3 linked regions of the Caenorhabditis elegans genome follow. The protein of the gene in region 1 interacts with the protein of each later gene in a pairwise test. Each region holds a gene or a part of one and is shown in the gene's direction. Other genes may lie near its edges.

Region 1 (4,906 bases):
AAAAGTCAAAAACTCGGCCACCAATTTTTTGAAAATACGGTTCAGTACGGTACATTTTATCAAGTGGACGAGAAAAAAGAAAACTCGGCCACCAATTTTTGCCACAGCCACAAAAAAATTCGGTCACTCTGCAAGTACCGCCCCGTACGCTGGGTTTGACTGCGTGGCCTAGAAAAGTCAAAAACTCGGCCACCAATTTTTTATTCCAGCCTTAATTGATTTTTTTCATTTAAAAAATTTTTTTAATCAAAAAATTAAGATTTCAAATACTTTTTCTCAAAAAAAATTTGAAATCTCTGCAAATTAATATTTCTAAATTCAAAATCGAAAAAAAGTTGAAAGCTCAACATCTGAAAACTTTCCAGAACAATTTTCCCGCCATGTGTGACCAGAAAAAACATAAAACACGAAAATAAACGTAATTTAATTAAGCGTGACGTCATGAACACGTTCAGAAGTTGAATGCTCAAAGGAGCCGGGTCTAGACGTAAAAGAAAATTGAAAAGTTCAGTTCAAGTTCAAAATAACAGAAAAAAATGCTTTATTTATCGAATGTCATATGAAAGTTGCTCTTTTGAGAGCAACTGAGCCAAAAAATTGAGATGAACTTGTGTCTAGTTTGAGCAAAAATTAGTTTGCATGTTTTGGAAAAAAAAAGTTGAAAAATTGAGAGAAAATTCATAATTTCTTCGATTTCTTAGCTCCCAATAGTTGCGTGGCCGCGGAAAATTGTTGGTAGCCGAGTTTTTTTCTAGGCCACGTAGTAAAATAAACCGTTCTTAACTGCATTTTCAAAAATTGATGGCTGAGTATTTGACTCTTCTAGGCCACGTAGTCAAATCCAGCGTGGCCGAATTTTTTTTGGCCGAGTTTTGGACTTTTCTAGGTCATATAGTCAAACCCAGTGTACTGGACGGGATTCATAGCGTGGCCTAGGTTTCTTTTTCTCGGCCACGTAACCAAAATTAAAAATGGCAAAAACTTGTGGCCGATTTTTCTTTTTTTTTCGGTCACTTGGTGAAACGGACCGTACTAAACTGTATTTTCAAAAATTGGTGGCCGAGTTTTTCCCATTTTCAAGGCCAAGTTGCAAAATGTTTTCTCTAATTCCGTATTCTAATTTTCTAACTATTTACAGAAGGGAATTTTCGTCCCAGGCCGCAAAAGAAAAATTGGTGGCCGAGTTTTTCCCATTTTCTAGGCCACGTTAAGAAATTCACAAAAAAATTTGCGTAATTGTGCGTAAACATGGTGCATTGCGAATAAAGTTTGAGACATGGCCGCGGAAAAAATTGTTGGCCGAGTTTTTTTGTTTATAGATTTGTAGCTTTTTAAGGTCACTAAAAGCAGGATTAGTTTTTTTTAAACAGTTCTGAGAAGCCAATTTTTAAAAATTGCACTGTGGCCGTGTTTTCGTATTTTCGCGGCCACGATCAGAAAACTCGGCCACCGATTTTTCCTATTTTTTTTTTACGGCCACATAGCAAAAAACCGCCCAATGCGTATAAAACACAATAAAAAAGGTAAAATTTTGCATTTTTAAGTGAAAAAATGCTAACTAAGAAAAAATTTTAAAAAAATTTTTTCGAAAATTAAAAAAAAATTTTTTTTTTTCGCAACGTTATTATTTTTAAATATAATTTATTTAAACATTTACACCAGGAAAACATGAAAAAGAGAGAAACATTTGGGAAAAATGGGAATTTTTGACTCAATGAGAGCCAAGTGATAAGAGGAAGTTGATGATGATTGAAAAGGAAAGGGATATATTTTGAAAAAGAGAAATGAGCACACACGTGCTGAGCCATCACTCTAATGGAGCACCATGAACACTTTCAGATGGGAAAAAAAACGTGTGAGAATAAGTTAAGCCACCTCTGTTTTGCTTCTGCTCTGCAGTCAACTACTCAAATTACTGTGACGTCGTCTCGCTAATTAGTTGATTATCGTCGTCTTCTTCCTCCTTTTTTGCAGAAATCTCAGTCTTTGTGAGAAATTTGGTTAAAGTTTGGAAAAAAATTTCTGAAAAAAAAATTTTTTTGAAAATTTTTTAAAGAAATTTTTTTTCCGCCAATTTTATTTTTTTACAAATAATTTTTTAATGAGTTCTTGCTCACTGAGATTAACAGAAAAAATGTTTTTACCACAAAAAATTGAAATTTTTTTTTTCAAAATTCCAAAAAAAAATAAACATTTTTTTAGCTCAGCCAATTTTTTTTTCGATTTTTTAGAAATTTAAAATTTACAAAAAAAATCTGCAATTGTACAAAAAAATCCGGAAATTTGGGAAAAATCAGTAAAATCAGGAAAAAAGTCTGTAAAATTTGGAAAAAAATCTTAAAAATTTACAGAAAATCTGGAAAATTTCCAAAAAAAAATTTGGAAAATTTGGAAAAAAAATCTGTAAAATTTCGAAAAAAAATGTGTAAAATTTGGAAAAAAATCTGTAAAATCAGGAAAAAAATCTGTAAAATTTGGAAAAAATCTGTAAAATTTGGAAAAAAATCTGTAAAATTTGGAAAAAAAATCTTAAAAATTTACAGAAAATCTGGAAAATTTCCAAAAAAAAATTTGGAAAATTTGGAAAAAAATCTGCAAAATTTCGAAAAAAATCTGTAAATTTCGAAAAAAAAATCTGCAAAATTTCGAAAAAAAATCAGTAAAATTTGTAAACAAATCTGTAAAACTTCGAAAAAAATCTGTAAAATTAAAAAAAAATCACATATCACTTTAAAAAAAACCTAAATTTAAAAAAATTCAATAAAAAGTCCGCAGCAACAAAAGTTTTAAACTACAGTACTCTTTTTAAAGACGCACACACCTTTTCGCATCTAACAAAAATTTGTCGTGTCGAGACCCCGGGAACCGTATTTCTATCACCAATAATACACTACAAACTACACAATAACCCCCAAATCATGTGAACTATAATGTTTACTGATAAGATACGTGTGTGAGCACAACAACAGACAGAATCACTGTGCACGTATTATTACAGTTTTAATCGATAAAATTTCGAATTCGCTGAATTTTTTTTGCAACACAAAATTTAAAAAAAAATGCAAACTCTTGGAAACATATTCGAAAATGAGGATAACGTTTTTCTCAAACTTCCACACTATTTTAAGCCATTGCAAGCGGTATGTTTATTGATTTTTTTAATTTCCCGATGCACCATGTTCAATTTTTCAGATTAACGCTGTAATTCTGGCGGTTTGCATTGGATCGACGGCTTCCGGGGATAATGGGATTCTTTGGTTTACTCTAATTGTTCAATTAATTGTTAGTTTATCCTTTTATTAAATTTTTACCCCCATCAACCCCCTGAATTTCCAGATTTCCGCGGCGGCAACGGTAATCTTCGCCCTGCGGATTCAGGATGAGCTCATGGAGAGTATTTCGAATGGAAGCATCGCGTGGAATGTCGTGGAGCTCGTGTATTCCTTTATTTTGGCGGTCCTCTCCGTGATTTCCGTCTGGCTTTCGTTTTCGTTCGCGAATCGGTCGCTTTTCGGCACTTCTGCGGGATATATTGCTGCTGGGGTGGGTTTTAAGGGGGATTTTTAGGCAATATATATGTTAATTTCAGGTTTTCTTCATCGTACAAACAATTTTCTACGCTGTCCCATGTACTGTAATCTATCGTGAGGTACAGACAACTTCGGATACCGAACGTCAGAATATTGTGATCGAACCAGCACATCCATTCCGTTCTAATGCTTATCAAGACTTGTGATTTTGTAGATTTATTCATTTTTCTTTTTTGCTTATTTTCACAATAAATTATTCTTTTATTGACTCTAAAAAGCCCGACTTTCAACTATAAAATCATGTTTATTTATATAAATTAATTACCATAGGCACATTGCCCGTAAAATGTGATGCATTGTGTGCAAACACCGTGACGCGCAAATGCACCAACTGACGACCGGTCATTTATTTATTTACTTTTTAATCGCTTTCTTTTCAGATTTTATCGATTTTCCGTGATTTTTTATGGATAATTTTGTTGAAAAATCAGTTAAGCTTGTTATTAGAGTTATTTTAAGTCGAAAATCCAGATCCGAATCGATTTGAGCAAAATTTGGCTGAGAAATGCTATTTTGAAGAAAAATGGTTTTTTTTCTTCTAAATTGCTAGTTTTCTCCAGTTTTTTTCTTGGAAAAATCGAGAAAAGCTCGTTTTGTTTATAATATATATTTATTCTAAGCCAAGCTTCCCAATTTGTTTATAAAAATATAAATTTTCCAGACCGACAATGAGCGGTCGCAAAATTGCGGCGGCCACTGTTCAAAATCGCACCCAGACGCCATTCTGGAACTGGCTTAAGCGTAAGTTTTTCTTTTTCCGTTTTTTGCGCTCCAATATTAACAAATTAATGAAAATTTAGAAATTTCCAGAAAAGCTGTTGGCTTCCGACCGACTCCCCATCACCCCGCCACCAGGAATCGCCGGCCCGGACGGAAAAGCAGTCTACCAGAACCCTCTCCGCTTCCCAAACACCCAATCCGCTCGTCCTTGCTCCGCAGAGCTCCCGGCTCTTCCAGGAGGTGTTCATCACAAGCTCGCTGATAATTATTACTTGACAAGGTTCAAAAAATTCCACCCTGTGGGGAAATTGCTTTAAATCACGCCTTTGGTACCACAATGACCGAATATCATGATAAAAAAATTTAAAAGTTTTTTCTAGATTTTATATGATTTTTTGAAAATTGAAAAATTCTCAGTTTTCACCCCTAATTTCTATTTGAATTTCCGCCAATTGAACTCGTTCGTTGGAGCGCGCTTGCATTATTTTCGTTAATTTTTTAAAATTTATTTTCATTATTTCACTGATTTTCTCTATTTTTTTGGGGTTTTAATCGGAAAATGAAAGAAATAAGCAAGAAAATTCACAGTCCTTATT
Region 2 (4,458 bases), on another chromosome or scaffold:
GTTTCAAAACGAATGTTTTTGATTGGTTGTAAACGCATATTCATCATCAGTTAGTTTAGTGCGGAAAATGGCGTTTTGCAGGGTTTAGAAAGGGTAAGACGTTGTAAAACATTTCTCAAAACATAAAAATCAATGTCTGAATGCAGCATATTCAAATTTAAAAGAACGGCAAAAGACACGTGTACTTTTTGGCCAGCATTGGTCACACAAACCGCCCGGGGTATTAAAAATAGTGGAAAAAGTGTTGAATTATAAGAGACACAGACGCTGAATCAGAAGAGGCGCAGGGTGAGTGAGTGAGCACACGGAAAAGAGCAAACGAAAAGTGGAGAAAAAGCTGACTGGCGATGAGAATTGGGCGTGGATGGGGCAGCTTTACAAACGATTTTTCATGAGAATACTGTGTGCTTGTATCTCTCTGAGAGCATGTGCCATTCCGTGCTGATCACCGAGATTCACTTCTTCTTTCAAAACCGAAAAATATAAATTTTTGTTCGAATTTAAAAAAATCAAAACCTTTTTTTTTTGGTTAAAACTGAACATCGAAAAAAAAAACGTTTTGGGGTTTATTTTCTCAAAAATAGTGAAGGTGCAGGTTCTTGTGAGAAATTTGTCAGAAAAACTTGTTGTTGCAGTGTTTTCAGATTTTTTTAAACCAAATTTTTCGTTTATTAAAAAATTGAAGTATGGAAAATTTTTTTTTCAAAATCTTTAGTGGTTTTTAACCGACAAAAAATGTTTTTAAAAATAAAAAAAAACAATTCTAGAAAATATCTGGAAAAATGAAGAATAGTTCAATATTTAATGTTGATTTTAATGAGACATGATTAAATAGAGAAATACCCTAAAAAATTAAATTTTAAATACTTTCGAAAGCGAAAAGCAGACATTTTTTTGAGATTTTTATTTCAAAATTTCAAAACTTTGGGTTTCGTTGCCAACTTTTTCAAAATATTATTTTAACAACAAAAATTATATTTTCAAATTTCAAATAAATTGCTGGGGATATCCACCATAACGAAAAAACTGATTATAATTGAATTATTTTTTAAAAAATTTGTTTTTCATTTAAAGAATTACAGGAAATGTAAAATTGAGAAAATAATGAGAAAATGGTCTCAATTAAACTTTCACCGTAAAGAAAACATATAAAATTAACAACAACGAACATTTCAGGTGACACTTCAAAGAGAGAAAACCAACAATAAAGTTTTTTTAAAAAATCAACAAAAAATTAACAATTCTTCCAATTATTCTCCGAGTAGATGCTTCTTGTTGATTGGACGAATAGCTCTTCCAGCCTGAAAATATAAATATTATAAATAGAGAAATTTTATTCAAAATTTGTGTCTAGTAACTCATGAGGGGAAAAATGTGAAAATAGTTGGAGAAAAGAAGTAAGAGAAGGAGAAGAAGAGCATTTCACAGCTGAGTGAGGAAAAGCTGTCCCTAGAAGCAACACACACATCATCGATTTTCTTTCGAGCTTCAACAATGTTTTGAAACATTTCAAGTTCTTATCAATGTAATAGGAACGTGTGAAAACCCAGCAGAATGTACGGCGCCGAACGATGATTTTGAATTACTTTCAGTCAACAACTCGATTAGTTTTAGTGACTCGTCATGGTGTAAACATATATTTGATGTTTTTATTTCTTTCTAAATAGATTCTAACAATTTTCAATTGCAAGTTTTGTTGGTTGATTTCAAATAATTCCAATATTTATGATTACTGTAATGGTTTTTTGGAAGAGGAGACAAGATTTGCTGTAACACAGGGATTACTGTAACTAAAACGTCTAGAAAATTGCTCCTCTTCAATGATAATCTTTAGAAGTTTTCTTGCTATTTTTAAAAGTTATTCAAATTTCCTCGCTAGCTCACTGATCTTCTTCAATTAATACAGGTGTGAGCCAATCCAAATATGTATTCTCTTGTCAATCATTTTTCGTCATTCTTTCTCCGATCTATATGAACACCCACCAACCTCTACACAAAAAGATGACCTGCACCCGTTTGGGAGCATTCGGTTTCCTGCGTCTCATTCTAACCAACATACACAATCTATAATATGACTCGTTCTCTCATAAACGTGAATAGAGAGAGAGAAGCAGCGCGCGCGCACACATCTAAGGGGAGGGATTGTCCGATACGAGAAAAGAGAAAGAGACATAGGAAGAACGTAAGGACAACACAGCGTTCCTCTTCATCTTCTCGTCTTTCTTATTCTGTTACTAGTCATTAGTTGCCATTCGCATTCTGGTGGTAGAAAGAGCACATCGGAGATATATCTACTTTGTCTCTTCATTTTCTTTTTTTTCCGTAAATATTACACCTAGATTCAAAAAATCTAGGCAGATAGTACACTAGGATAAAATACATGCACTTGATTTAAATTTTTATGAAGTCAATCCTGTTGTAAATCCTACTCCGTTCGAACTTTCACTTTCATTCTTTTTTCCTTCCGTTGCCGGTCTAACTTGTCTCTTTGTATATATTATTTTTTTTCAGAAAACTACAACTAAACAATGAACTCCATCGTCAATGGACTCTACACCTTCATGTCCACAACCGTCGTCCCAGCAGTCACAGAACAGGCAGCGAACCTTGTTGGAGGAGCTTCTGCACTTGCCGAAGGAGCAACACAGGCTCTAACACAAATCAGTCAGACTGCTCTCGAGTGGGGATCTGGCTCAGAGGATGCCACGGCTTCTTCTGAAGTCTTCTCATGGGAGCAACAAGGGGCGGCGGCGGCGTCGTCTGATCTTCAAGAGGATAAAAAGGAGACGACAGAGGATGTTCACCAGGAGGCGATAGGAGCATCGTCACCAAATACATCGATCGAATGGGAAGTGATCCATGAGAATCCAGACGAGACGGGTCCAATCAGGCACAATCAATTTGAGATGGTGCAAAACAACTACGAGTGGATGAAGAATTCCAAATGATCTGGGATGAACGAAGAAATCCTATACATGTTCGGGTCTATTTTAATATTACTGTCCAATTTATGTCATGTTTTCGGTAATATTTACCGGTTTTCACAATGTTTCACAATAAACTTTCGTACGTGATCAATTCTACAATGTCCTTGGCAATAAAAACTACTTCAGACAAGAAATTTCAAAGACAACAGGGATTTGAGGTGTTAGAAATCATGGGCAATACTTAATGTAAAAAATCTATTAATAACAGAATATCGAGCTTCTTATCGGTTAATTTCGCAACCTATTACAACTCGAACAACATTCGCCAGTTTGCGTGTTCATTTTTGCATATTTTCTTGTTAGAACAGTGTTTGTTTGTTTTTATAGTCTACTTTTTTTTTAACGAAAAAGGGAAAAGCTTGTGACATCAAAATGAACTCGTCACATGTGCCGTTCGGTTCCTGTCTCCCGTGCCAGTGCATATATATGCACAGATGATAGATGTTCGCTTATATTTTGTGACATTATACACCTTTCTAAATATTTTAAAATCGAAAAGAGCTGTCTCAAATGTAAAAAGTGGTCCCTATTCCGAAATTATATCAAAATCAGTTTTGAAAAAATTTATTGTGAACAAAAGTTGCAAGAATTTTTGAATTTTTCTTTCGGCTGAAAATTCGAAATATTGTGCAATTTGATTTTAAAAAAAACCAAATAGTTGCATATGATTTTAGGGGAGCATATGCAAGGTTGCACTGAGTCTCATAGGGGTACTGTATTTTTTTATCTCTAATTCTCTAAACACTACTACTACTCGATTCTCTAATATATACAGTTTCTTCTTTCATTATTTTCGATTTACATTTTTAAATAATATGAAGATTTTAAAAATTGTATTCTTTAAAAACTTATCGAAACTTATTTCTAAACCAAATTTAAAAAGACCAACTCTCAAAAACCTATTATATTGATCCATATTCTGGGACTCTATATTGTCTCTTCTCTTCCTCTACTATGTTGGAATAATAATCAAATGGTCTCGTTAGCCGCCAGAAAGTTATTGATTACAAAGGTGTATACTGTTACATCAGATCGAGCGTTTTTGTGCACAGTCACGCCTATTTGGCAGCCTGCCATACGTTGGGTGTTCAGTCGTCCGTCGTTTTTTTTACCTAGGCTCTATGTTCTTAATTTCTTCTATGTAGTTTGATTTCCATATTACCTCGATTTCGTAACTATCCCTTTTTTGGCACAATAGATTATGAAATTGCGTGTTTGTTTCCTCAGCCCTTCTATTCATATTTTCCTTATCTAAAATGACTAAAACTTATTTCATTTTCAGAACCACAAGTTCTCAAAATGTCTTACTTCTCCTATGCAACCTCCATCTGGAATTCCGTATCAGAAATGGTCACATCTGCAGCTGAAACCGTCGGAACACTTGTCAACGCGGTTACTGAAGACACTACTCCAGTCGAACTCGTAGAGGTTCCACAACAAGAAGAACCAGCTGTACCAGAGAAGCTAGAGA
Region 3 (8,469 bases), 7.5 Mb from region 1:
TGCCTGAAGGCTCGACGAGCTGGAACAAACCGAAAGAAAAACGGGGGAGAAGAAGAAGGAGAGAAGACCATCGTTGTTTTTAAGACTCAAGAGAAGAGGCTTCACACAAGCACACCTATATAATTGTTCAGTCATGCGTACCTCCGGCCCGCCAACTATTTATTTTTGAGAGTACTTCTACTGTGTCAGGCAGGCCTTTCACTTTTTGAGCATAAAAGGGGAGTCTATATGAAAGTGAAATGGAGGGTTGGTTTAGTATTAAAATAAGCAGCCCAATTACATGCAATGGCTATCGGCTCGTCGACGGCTCGGCGGGGATACTCTTCTATTGGGTTATTAGAGAGAAGTTTTTTTATACGAGAGATAGACATTCGGAGAACTATTGAAGAAATCAAATTTAAAAGGAACTGCTTCGAGAAACTCTAATTATTTCCGGTCACTTCGAAAGCGCTTGTATGAGGGAAAAATTGGCTCACATTTGGATCTTGTTTCGGAATTGAAAATTTCATAACGAATCCTTCAATTTTTCATGGCATGTAACATCAAAAAAATTTAACAAGTGGTTTTATAGTCTCTAAAATTTTCGCATTTTTATGCCACACTCGTGTTCATCAAAACAATTAAGCATAGTTTCAGAAAAGGATTACTATTCAAGTATTAAAATTCAACATTTGTATTTTGCTAAATTCTTATGTTATTTACAGAAATATCTAACTTAATTCCGAAAAGAAAACAGCAAATGGTTGTCATTATATAATTATTTAAATTTTTTACAAAGGGTTTAAGATTTTTCAGAACACAAATTTATCGTCAGAGGAAAAAGCTTTCTTTCCCCAAAAATGTTCAAAACAACTCAAACAAAAATATGTATCAATTGAAAACATAACTTGCAACATTTTTGGAAAGCTTCAGATCAATCTTAACAACAAATACTACAATTTGAAGGATATATAAGAAAAGGGACCACCAAAGAGACCAAATGGAAAGAAAGGACAAATGGGAAAAGGTTTCATGGCTTTGGAAGAGGAGAAAGAGTGCCCAGACATACGAATTCGCGCACGCATGGACCGACGGCTCCGGATGTCAGAAGTAGAGAGCACGAGACGCAGACAAGAGTTACGAAATATTGGGGAGACAGTGCGTGAGAGGAAGAGACGCAGAGTGAGTTGCTATGGGAGACCCCGAGGACCTCATTTGTTTTTTCAAATTCCTGCGAAGGTCGGATGTGGAAAATTTTAGTTTGATTGGATTGTTTTTCGAGAAATTCGAGACACTTGATCTTCCACTTTTTCTTCATCAAAAGAGGTCATATTTCATTTTATTGCATTTGTTGAGGGTGGAAATTGTTCCTGCAGATGACTATTATCTACATCATTCAAAAAATGACAAAGTTACGTAATCGGGAAATGTGTGATTGACAGAGTTACGCTGAGATTTGAATAGAAGAAGTGGTAAACATCAAAGCAAAACCTCTTAAGTTTTAATTGGATATAGGTCTCGAATATGTATTGTGTGGTTTTTCAGAAGATTTTTTTTTTAAATTGTTGTATTTTCCAATTCAATTGATTTTAAATTTTAATTTTCTGATTTTTGTGTTAAACTCGGCGCAACTTACTATTATTAAAATTTCTCAGAAGACGATTTAAATTGTATATATATATAAATAGCTTTTGTGTGGCCATTATTTTGAAACTCCATTTGAAAAAAATAATGTGAATAATTTTTCTAACCTATAATTACTGAATGTCAAATACCCATCGAAGATATCAATCTGATTTTGAAACATTATTTTTAAACTTTTCATTCAATCACGACTAACTATTAAAACATGAGTCGAATAACACATACACCGATCATCAAACACCATATTTCTCTCTCGCAACTTGAGCCAATATGAGCATGAACCGATGACAGATGGCCCTGCCATTTAGGATAACATCGTGAAGCGTCAAAGCATAAATGTGCTCTCAAATGGATAATCGGTGATGACTGAAGTGTGTATGTGAGACAGAAACATGGAAAGATGGAAATAAATGAATAATATTCTAATAATCTCATATTTTCACTATTTATCTTGCTTCGCAATGTTCATCATGGTAGCTCACCTCTTGGTTGTTTCTGGGGACCAACTGGGAGAACAGTTACAAATATATTTTAGATTTTTACTGTTTGCCAATTGGTTAGGTTGATGCTGTTATGGGAGACGCCACCATCGTCGCCTTCCGATTTTTGAAAGCTGATTCCCGAAACTGTAGCCTCCTTTTCGATCTGATTGTGAGTTATGAGTTCTTCAATCGATTCTCGAAGTTAGAATTTATTTTTAACCACGAGAAATCAATGAGATTTACAACAAGAATACAGCAAACATTTTATTGACTTAATCGTATTCAAAGGGCAATACATTTTTATTCGAGCTCATTCCTTCGTTGATTCATTTCGGATTGACATCTTTTTCTTTTTCGTTGACAGAAGCTGCCTGTAACTATTTTTATTTTTTATTTTGAATATCAACAAATCACTCACATCTTCATAACTGGGACCTCCTACTTTCTGAATCGATGGAGCATCATGAAGTGTATCATCACTTTTATCATTGATTTTTCCTGGTTTCAGAGCATTACGATGGCGTGCAGTTGGAGTTCGAGCAACTGGTTTTGGCGATTTGGCCTTCACAACATGATTGTCTGGATGAAGTTCTGGTTCAGTGTCAGTCAATGGTTTTTCAGTCAATAATTCATTCGCGTAAATCGATCCTTTTCGAATTGGCTTATGAACCGATGGCATTTTCTTCTCTGAAACGGTAACTAATTATTTCATACTTGTTTTTTAATTCTTACCATCTTTAATATGTTCCGAAACTAGCGGTGGTCCCTGAGCTACAGATCTTTCCGTTTTTTTGGTTGTGGCCACCACCTTCTTTTCCTTCTTTGGAGTAGGAGCTGTAGGCACGGTGGAGTTTGAGATCTTGGGAGATGGCTCAATATTTGACATCGCCTCAGCCTTGTCTCTAAAAATATTAAGATTTGTTGAGCGCTCACATTTCAGATAACTCACTCGTTCAAAGAAGCTTGTTCGAAAGCTGTCACTTTCACTGGTTGCTTATCTTCCACAGCTTTTTTCACCTAAAAACATTATTTTTGAATCTCAAATCATAATAGCTACTTACGGCTGCAGGCTTGGCTCTCTCGCTGGGCTTTTTGGAGAAAGCAGAACATTTGACGATGATTGTGCTAATTAAAACCAAATGAGCTGTTAGAGATAACATTCTGTAATTGCCAAGTGTATTTCTTAAGAAAACAAGAAAATTTAACTCACATACGAAACTATCAAAAGTGACTTCGTAATTTTACAAAATGATGGCTTTTCTGGATTTGTTCCCTTCACGTGTAGAAAGAAACGAGCAAAAAAAATCTTAGTGTTAGCTTTTTAGTTTTCACGGTGAATATGGATATTTTTAATGCTCAAAAAAAAAATATTGAACATGGTTTCAACTTTAACATTGTTAATAGAATCAGATTGATTAAATAAATCTTAGCATAAAAAAACCAATGGGCATACCTTCCTTGGACTTTTTTTTAACAAACGATCTTGTTTACTAATCATATTCTATTTCCCATCATTCTAGAATCAGCAAAAAAAAGTGTGAAACCTGGTGTTTTTAGTCTCCCAAACATCCAGCCTCCAAGTCATCTATCTCCACCTTCTTCTCCTCATTTCAAATTCCTTTTCAATCTCGTTGTTTGTAAATGCAAATTGGGGCCAACAATACAATAGGTGTAAAATGGCATCAGAAGTAGTAGCAGGGGAGGGCAGTCATTCTCTTCTTCTCTGCCCCTTTCACAGCCTTCAATCAGTTTCAGTTTGTATCGTCCATCATTTTCGAGAATACGAGGTGACCAAGGTCAATTCCTTCGGTCCGCCTTGTTTCGTTACATGGTTTCATAGCGAATACTTTTCATAAAAGTGACCAAACCGCTCTTCTACATTTTTTTCTCGCTTCTTCGTCCAACTGAAAGTGATTTCTTTCAATTTATACTACTTTCATCTTATTTAGTACAGATACTAGTATAACTTTTTCCTTTCAATTTCATTTCGCTCATAAAATTGGCTGACTTTTCAGTTATAGTTTTGAATCGTTTCAATGCTTTGACTTCAGTCCAAATTAACTGATTAAAAGATTCAAATTTTTTTAAAGTAAAATTCTTTCTATTTTACAATTGAAGTTATTTTAGAATTTCATTTTTCTGAGTCAATTTTTTTGCATCTGAAATCTAAATTTGAAAATTTTGAAACTATAGAATATTATGTAGTTTTTCTAAAACTGTTATCTTATTTTCTAGGTTTTCAATTTTGCTGTTACATATTAAAAGTATTAAAATTTAAAGTTGAACATTTTCAGCATCAAGAATGAAATCAACACTTCTAATACTACTGTTATCAATCAAACAAGGTACGTATCTTCATATAATTTTCCTCCCGAATCACTATTGTCTTCACTCTGACATCACTTTTAAGACAACAACAGTCACGTTATACACTTAATGATGCTTTTCCTTGTTAATCTCTGAAACCACCCACACCTTCCCAATTTGAGAGTGACAAGAAATTCATTTGTTTGAAAGTATAAACGAGGTTGTAATGAGTCAGGCACTCTTTGAACAATGGAATAAAGAATTCAAAAAGGAGGCAAAAATGTTGTATGTGTGTAATGAATAGATGACCGTAACAGAGGACAAAACACATGATCAGAAAAGGGGGTAAACGGGTGAAGCAGACAGTTTGGCGGGTGGGTCTCATATGATGGCTAATGGGGAGTGTGTGTGTATTTTAAAAATCATTGAAACAAGATCTTCTGAAGCTTTCTGAAGCTTCTGAAGCACAAGGAAAATCACCAAATTTTTGAGAAATGCTGCATTTTTTTTTGAGAAATGCTGCATATTCAGAAACTTACAACGTTCGAATTAGGATCGCAAAAAATTAAAATCGAAATTATTTGCAAATTTTCTTTGATCGGCTTCCAAAATCATGTGTGGTCAAAAGTAATAGAAATCAATTTCCACTTTTTGACTCTATCTGTAAAGGAAAAATTTCAGTTTTTTTTAAATATTTTTCAATACGGTATTCATCCATTTTATCACCCTATAAGTAAAATTATGGTTTTTCAGCTTTAAACTAAAGAGTTAGATCAATAATACAAAAATTTACTATTGAAATTAACTATTGACCTCACTATAATTCACTCGTATTATTCAATTTTACAGGCTCTTCTCAAATAAATCTCGGATCATTCTTTCTCCATCCTCAGCAGAACAATGGCGGCTTCGACATGGGAATGGGACAAGGAGCAAATATTTTAGGATTTGGAGGTGATCGTAGCTTTAATTTAGCTGGTAACAGAGCTGGATTTGCTTTGGGATGTGAGTATTAACACTTTTAACAACAAAATTGCAAAACTCTAAAGACTAAGAACTCTTCGTGTACAGATTTAATAACGTAGGCCTGGCTGCATGCCCAATCGGTAAATTGTTATATGTTGAATAGCTCCTACTGCTCGAAAGATGACCGAGTCATTACAGTTTTCTTTTGAAAATGTGTTGATTACTGGCTTACTATTAGATTCAAACCAAGGTTTTGAAGACTTCCCATTACTTTATATGCGAAGTTATTTTTAAGTTGTACCCAACTTTTATTTTTATAATTGATTTAGCATGTATTAATTATTAAAAATTTAACAATCTTACTATTAGTTAGATATAATTATTTTTTTTATTTATAATTATAACATTTTTTAACAGTATGGACTTCTCAATCTAACTTTCTTTTCATTAATAATTTTCATTTAAATTTACTGTATTTTGCCTTTGATGTAATATTCAATAATTTCCTTTTTCAGCTAATAATGGAGCTCTTGTCGGCGGACAACGTGTTGGAGTTGATGGGGGAATTGGTGGAGGACGTGAAGGTGTTGAAATGGGAAGTCAGGTGCAATTTGGAAATGAGCCAAATCCTGGTCATCCAGCCGGACAGTTTGGAAGTTTTATGGATAATGTCAAAAACTTTTTCTCATTTTTGGGTAAGTTTGACTATAGGAATTTTCTGGAAAGCAGAAGCTAATCGTTCAAAAGGAAAATCATCTGTTCATAAAGTTATCTTGATCAAGCATCAATGTCTTTGTTTTCCATTTCAAGTTTAACACGTACATCATATGAACTTTGAACATCTATAATTCTTCTTTCTCTGGAACTTTTTCTATCTTAAATAAAAAATTACAGGTCGTGGAATGCCAATGCCCCCTCAACAACCACCTCCATCACCTCCATTCTCATTGGGAGTCACTCGTCCACCAACTTTAATTGGTACTGAAAGATCTGAAAGTGAAAATGGAGGAAGACATAGACGTATGTGATTATATATTTATTGAAACAGTGGGGATTTGTTAAAACAGGAGCTCTATGTTTTTTAAATTTGTTTCACATTCCTTTCACACAATTTTCTTTCAGCTCGCCCATGGTTCCCAGAAGGTGAACAAATTCCAGAAGTAACTGGAGAAATGAGGCCAAAAGAAGGAGAAGCTGGAATTTCTTCATCATCCTCTTCCTCTTCTGAAACTGAATTCATTGGGCCAAACAATGGAGAAATCCCCAGAAAATCTGTCGAGTTCAGTATCGATAAAGAGCCAAGAGAGGAGTTCACTGAGGATTTATTCACGGCACAAACAAGTCGACCACGAGAGTTGCCAGGGCTTATAGAGTTTGCCTAGATTATCTTAATTCTCCCATCTTTATATATTTTCTCAAACATTCCCTTACATAGATTTTCATGACCTTTCTACGGGTTTTGTAAATATTTAAATAGTTCTTGATCTTTTACGCTGCCCTTTTTGAATAATTTAAGTTGAATTGTCAAAAAAATTGCAGAATCACAGCTTTATGAATAAATCTTTATGACCAGCAACAAAAATACGCAGTGAACTATGAAATGGTATTGTTACGCAGAAAGAATCACATCTTATGTGACGTCATGCTTACACTTGAAATTTACATATTTATAAGAATTTAGTCACAATTGTGAAAAAAACCGATGACCCGTTGATCATTTGGAATTACAAATCACAGTTAAAACAATTGAATTACATACATAGAATTGAAACTATTAAACTAAAATCTTTGCAATCAGAGAAAAGGTTTGATGCATCTTTTGTTGATGTTCGCTTTTATGAGTGAATGACTTTTTTACAGCTCTTCGAAGCTCCGGATTGCACAGCTGAAATGAAAAAAAGTATGAGTTGATTTTGTGTTACAGTTTATATCTCTAAAGAAACATCTGAAAACATTTGCAACGTCCCGTTTCAGCCAGTAAATTTGAGGATTGTTACAATAAAATTTCGAACTGACAAATTCAAATTTATAATCACTTACCATATATATTGGGAGTCGAAGTGCACAAGCAGTCACTACCAGAACTGAAGAAAGATCAGCGGATAACATGTACTCTTCCAAGAACCTGAAATGTTTTTATAAATTTGAATAGTATTTTCCAGTACTACCGTGTTTGCAATGACTCAATATCAATGAATTCCCAAGCGGTGATGAACACATTCACTACGTTTGATATCAAATAAATGACACAAATGAATAGCATTGTGGCTGTCGCCTGACGTACGTTTGTCTGAAATATTTCTTTGGAAATTAATCAAATCTGATGTTTTCTGTGATGACATACCCGACTCTGCATTCTCAATGAAAATCTTCTTCTTGATCTATTCCCAAAAGCGTGTTGCATTTGAGATCGAAGCTCCAGGACAATTCCAAGATTTATTAATAAGAGAAGGGCAAATGGAAGAAACACAGTGGCAATGTTTCGAATCCAAAACTTGTAAATTGTACCATACCAAACAGATTTTGTAATATCTGTTACATCTACATAATACTCCATTACTGTATTTTTGCATGAAGGATCTTCATTTGGAAACACATCAAGCTCTATGAGCATTCCACCTTTTGTTAGTACTCCAAGGGAAAGGCATGCTGAAATAATAAATTAGTTTCAATGTGAAGTTTTTTTTTTTTAAATTTCAAAATATGTACCGCAATGTGTCGTAGAATGTTTAAACTGAAAAATTAAGCTTCTCTTTATTTTTGTAATTAGTTTTTAAATTTTGATTTTCACTTATCAAAAATTTGTGATCTCGATAATTTTTGAAAAATTCAATTTCCTTGAATTTATAAAATCGTATACCTTTAAAATTTTCCTAATTGTACATTAGGAATTAGGAATCTGTAGAGTTGCCGAAAATTTTCAATTTAGGAATTTAGGAATTTAGGGTCTGAGCGGTCTTTCTAATCTTCCGAACACGGCCTATTATTTTATCAAACGTTTTTTTAAGACTTTTTTGTTTCACATTTACATTTTCTTTCCTTTATCCTTTTTTAATCAACAATCTTTCCAAGGTATTAACCTTTGCCGGTC

What was found.
Region 2: the proteins of drr-1 (region 1) and F27C1.4 interact in a two-hybrid assay, tested with the Caenorhabditis elegans proteins (one large-scale study listed by BioGRID).
Region 3: the proteins of drr-1 (region 1) and B0034.1 interact in a two-hybrid assay, tested with the Caenorhabditis elegans proteins (one large-scale study listed by BioGRID).

What each region holds. Positions count from the first base shown.
Region 1 is NC_003280.10:13,493,946-13,498,851, reverse strand, and holds drr-1 (MARVEL domain-containing protein), read left to right. Parts: upstream 1-2,951; 5' UTR 2,952-3,059; coding exon 3,060-3,140; intron 3,141-3,192; coding exon 3,193-3,282; intron 3,283-3,336; coding exon 3,337-3,543; intron 3,544-3,589; coding exon 3,590-3,736; 3' UTR 3,737-3,806; downstream 3,807-4,906. Other genes in the region: ndua-7 (NADH dehydrogenase [ubiquinone] 1 alpha subcomplex subunit 7), read left to right, coding at 4,259-4,331, 4,401-4,590.
Region 2 is NC_003279.8:5,420,258-5,424,715, forward strand, and holds F27C1.4 (uncharacterized protein), read left to right. Parts: upstream 1-2,528; coding exon 2,529-2,948; downstream 2,949-4,458. Other genes in the region: erp-44.1 (Thioredoxin domain-containing protein), read right to left, coding at 384-435; utp-14 (Small-subunit processome), read right to left, coding at 1,251-1,301.
Region 3 is NC_003280.10:5,965,704-5,974,172, forward strand, and holds B0034.1 (Glycine rich superfamily member), read left to right. Parts: upstream 1-2,792; 5' UTR 2,793-2,800; intron 2,801-2,837; coding exon of another isoform or gene 2,838-3,007; intron 3,008-3,054; coding exon of another isoform or gene 3,055-3,122; intron 3,123-3,166; coding exon of another isoform or gene 3,167-3,265; exon of another isoform or gene 3,266-3,266; intron 3,267-3,315; exon of another isoform or gene 3,316-3,828; intron 3,829-4,399; 5' UTR 4,400-4,407; coding exon 4,408-4,450; intron 4,451-5,261; coding exon 5,262-5,417; intron 5,418-5,893; coding exon 5,894-6,073; intron 6,074-6,272; coding exon 6,273-6,398; intron 6,399-6,500; coding exon 6,501-6,760; 3' UTR 6,761-6,959; downstream 6,960-8,469. Other genes in the region: B0034.4 (uncharacterized protein), read right to left, coding at 2,432-2,476, 2,524-2,792, 2,838-3,007, 3,055-3,122, 3,167-3,265; B0034.5 (G-protein coupled receptors family 1 profile domain-containing protein), read right to left, coding at 7,153-7,263, 7,419-7,503, 7,547-7,668, 7,723-8,027.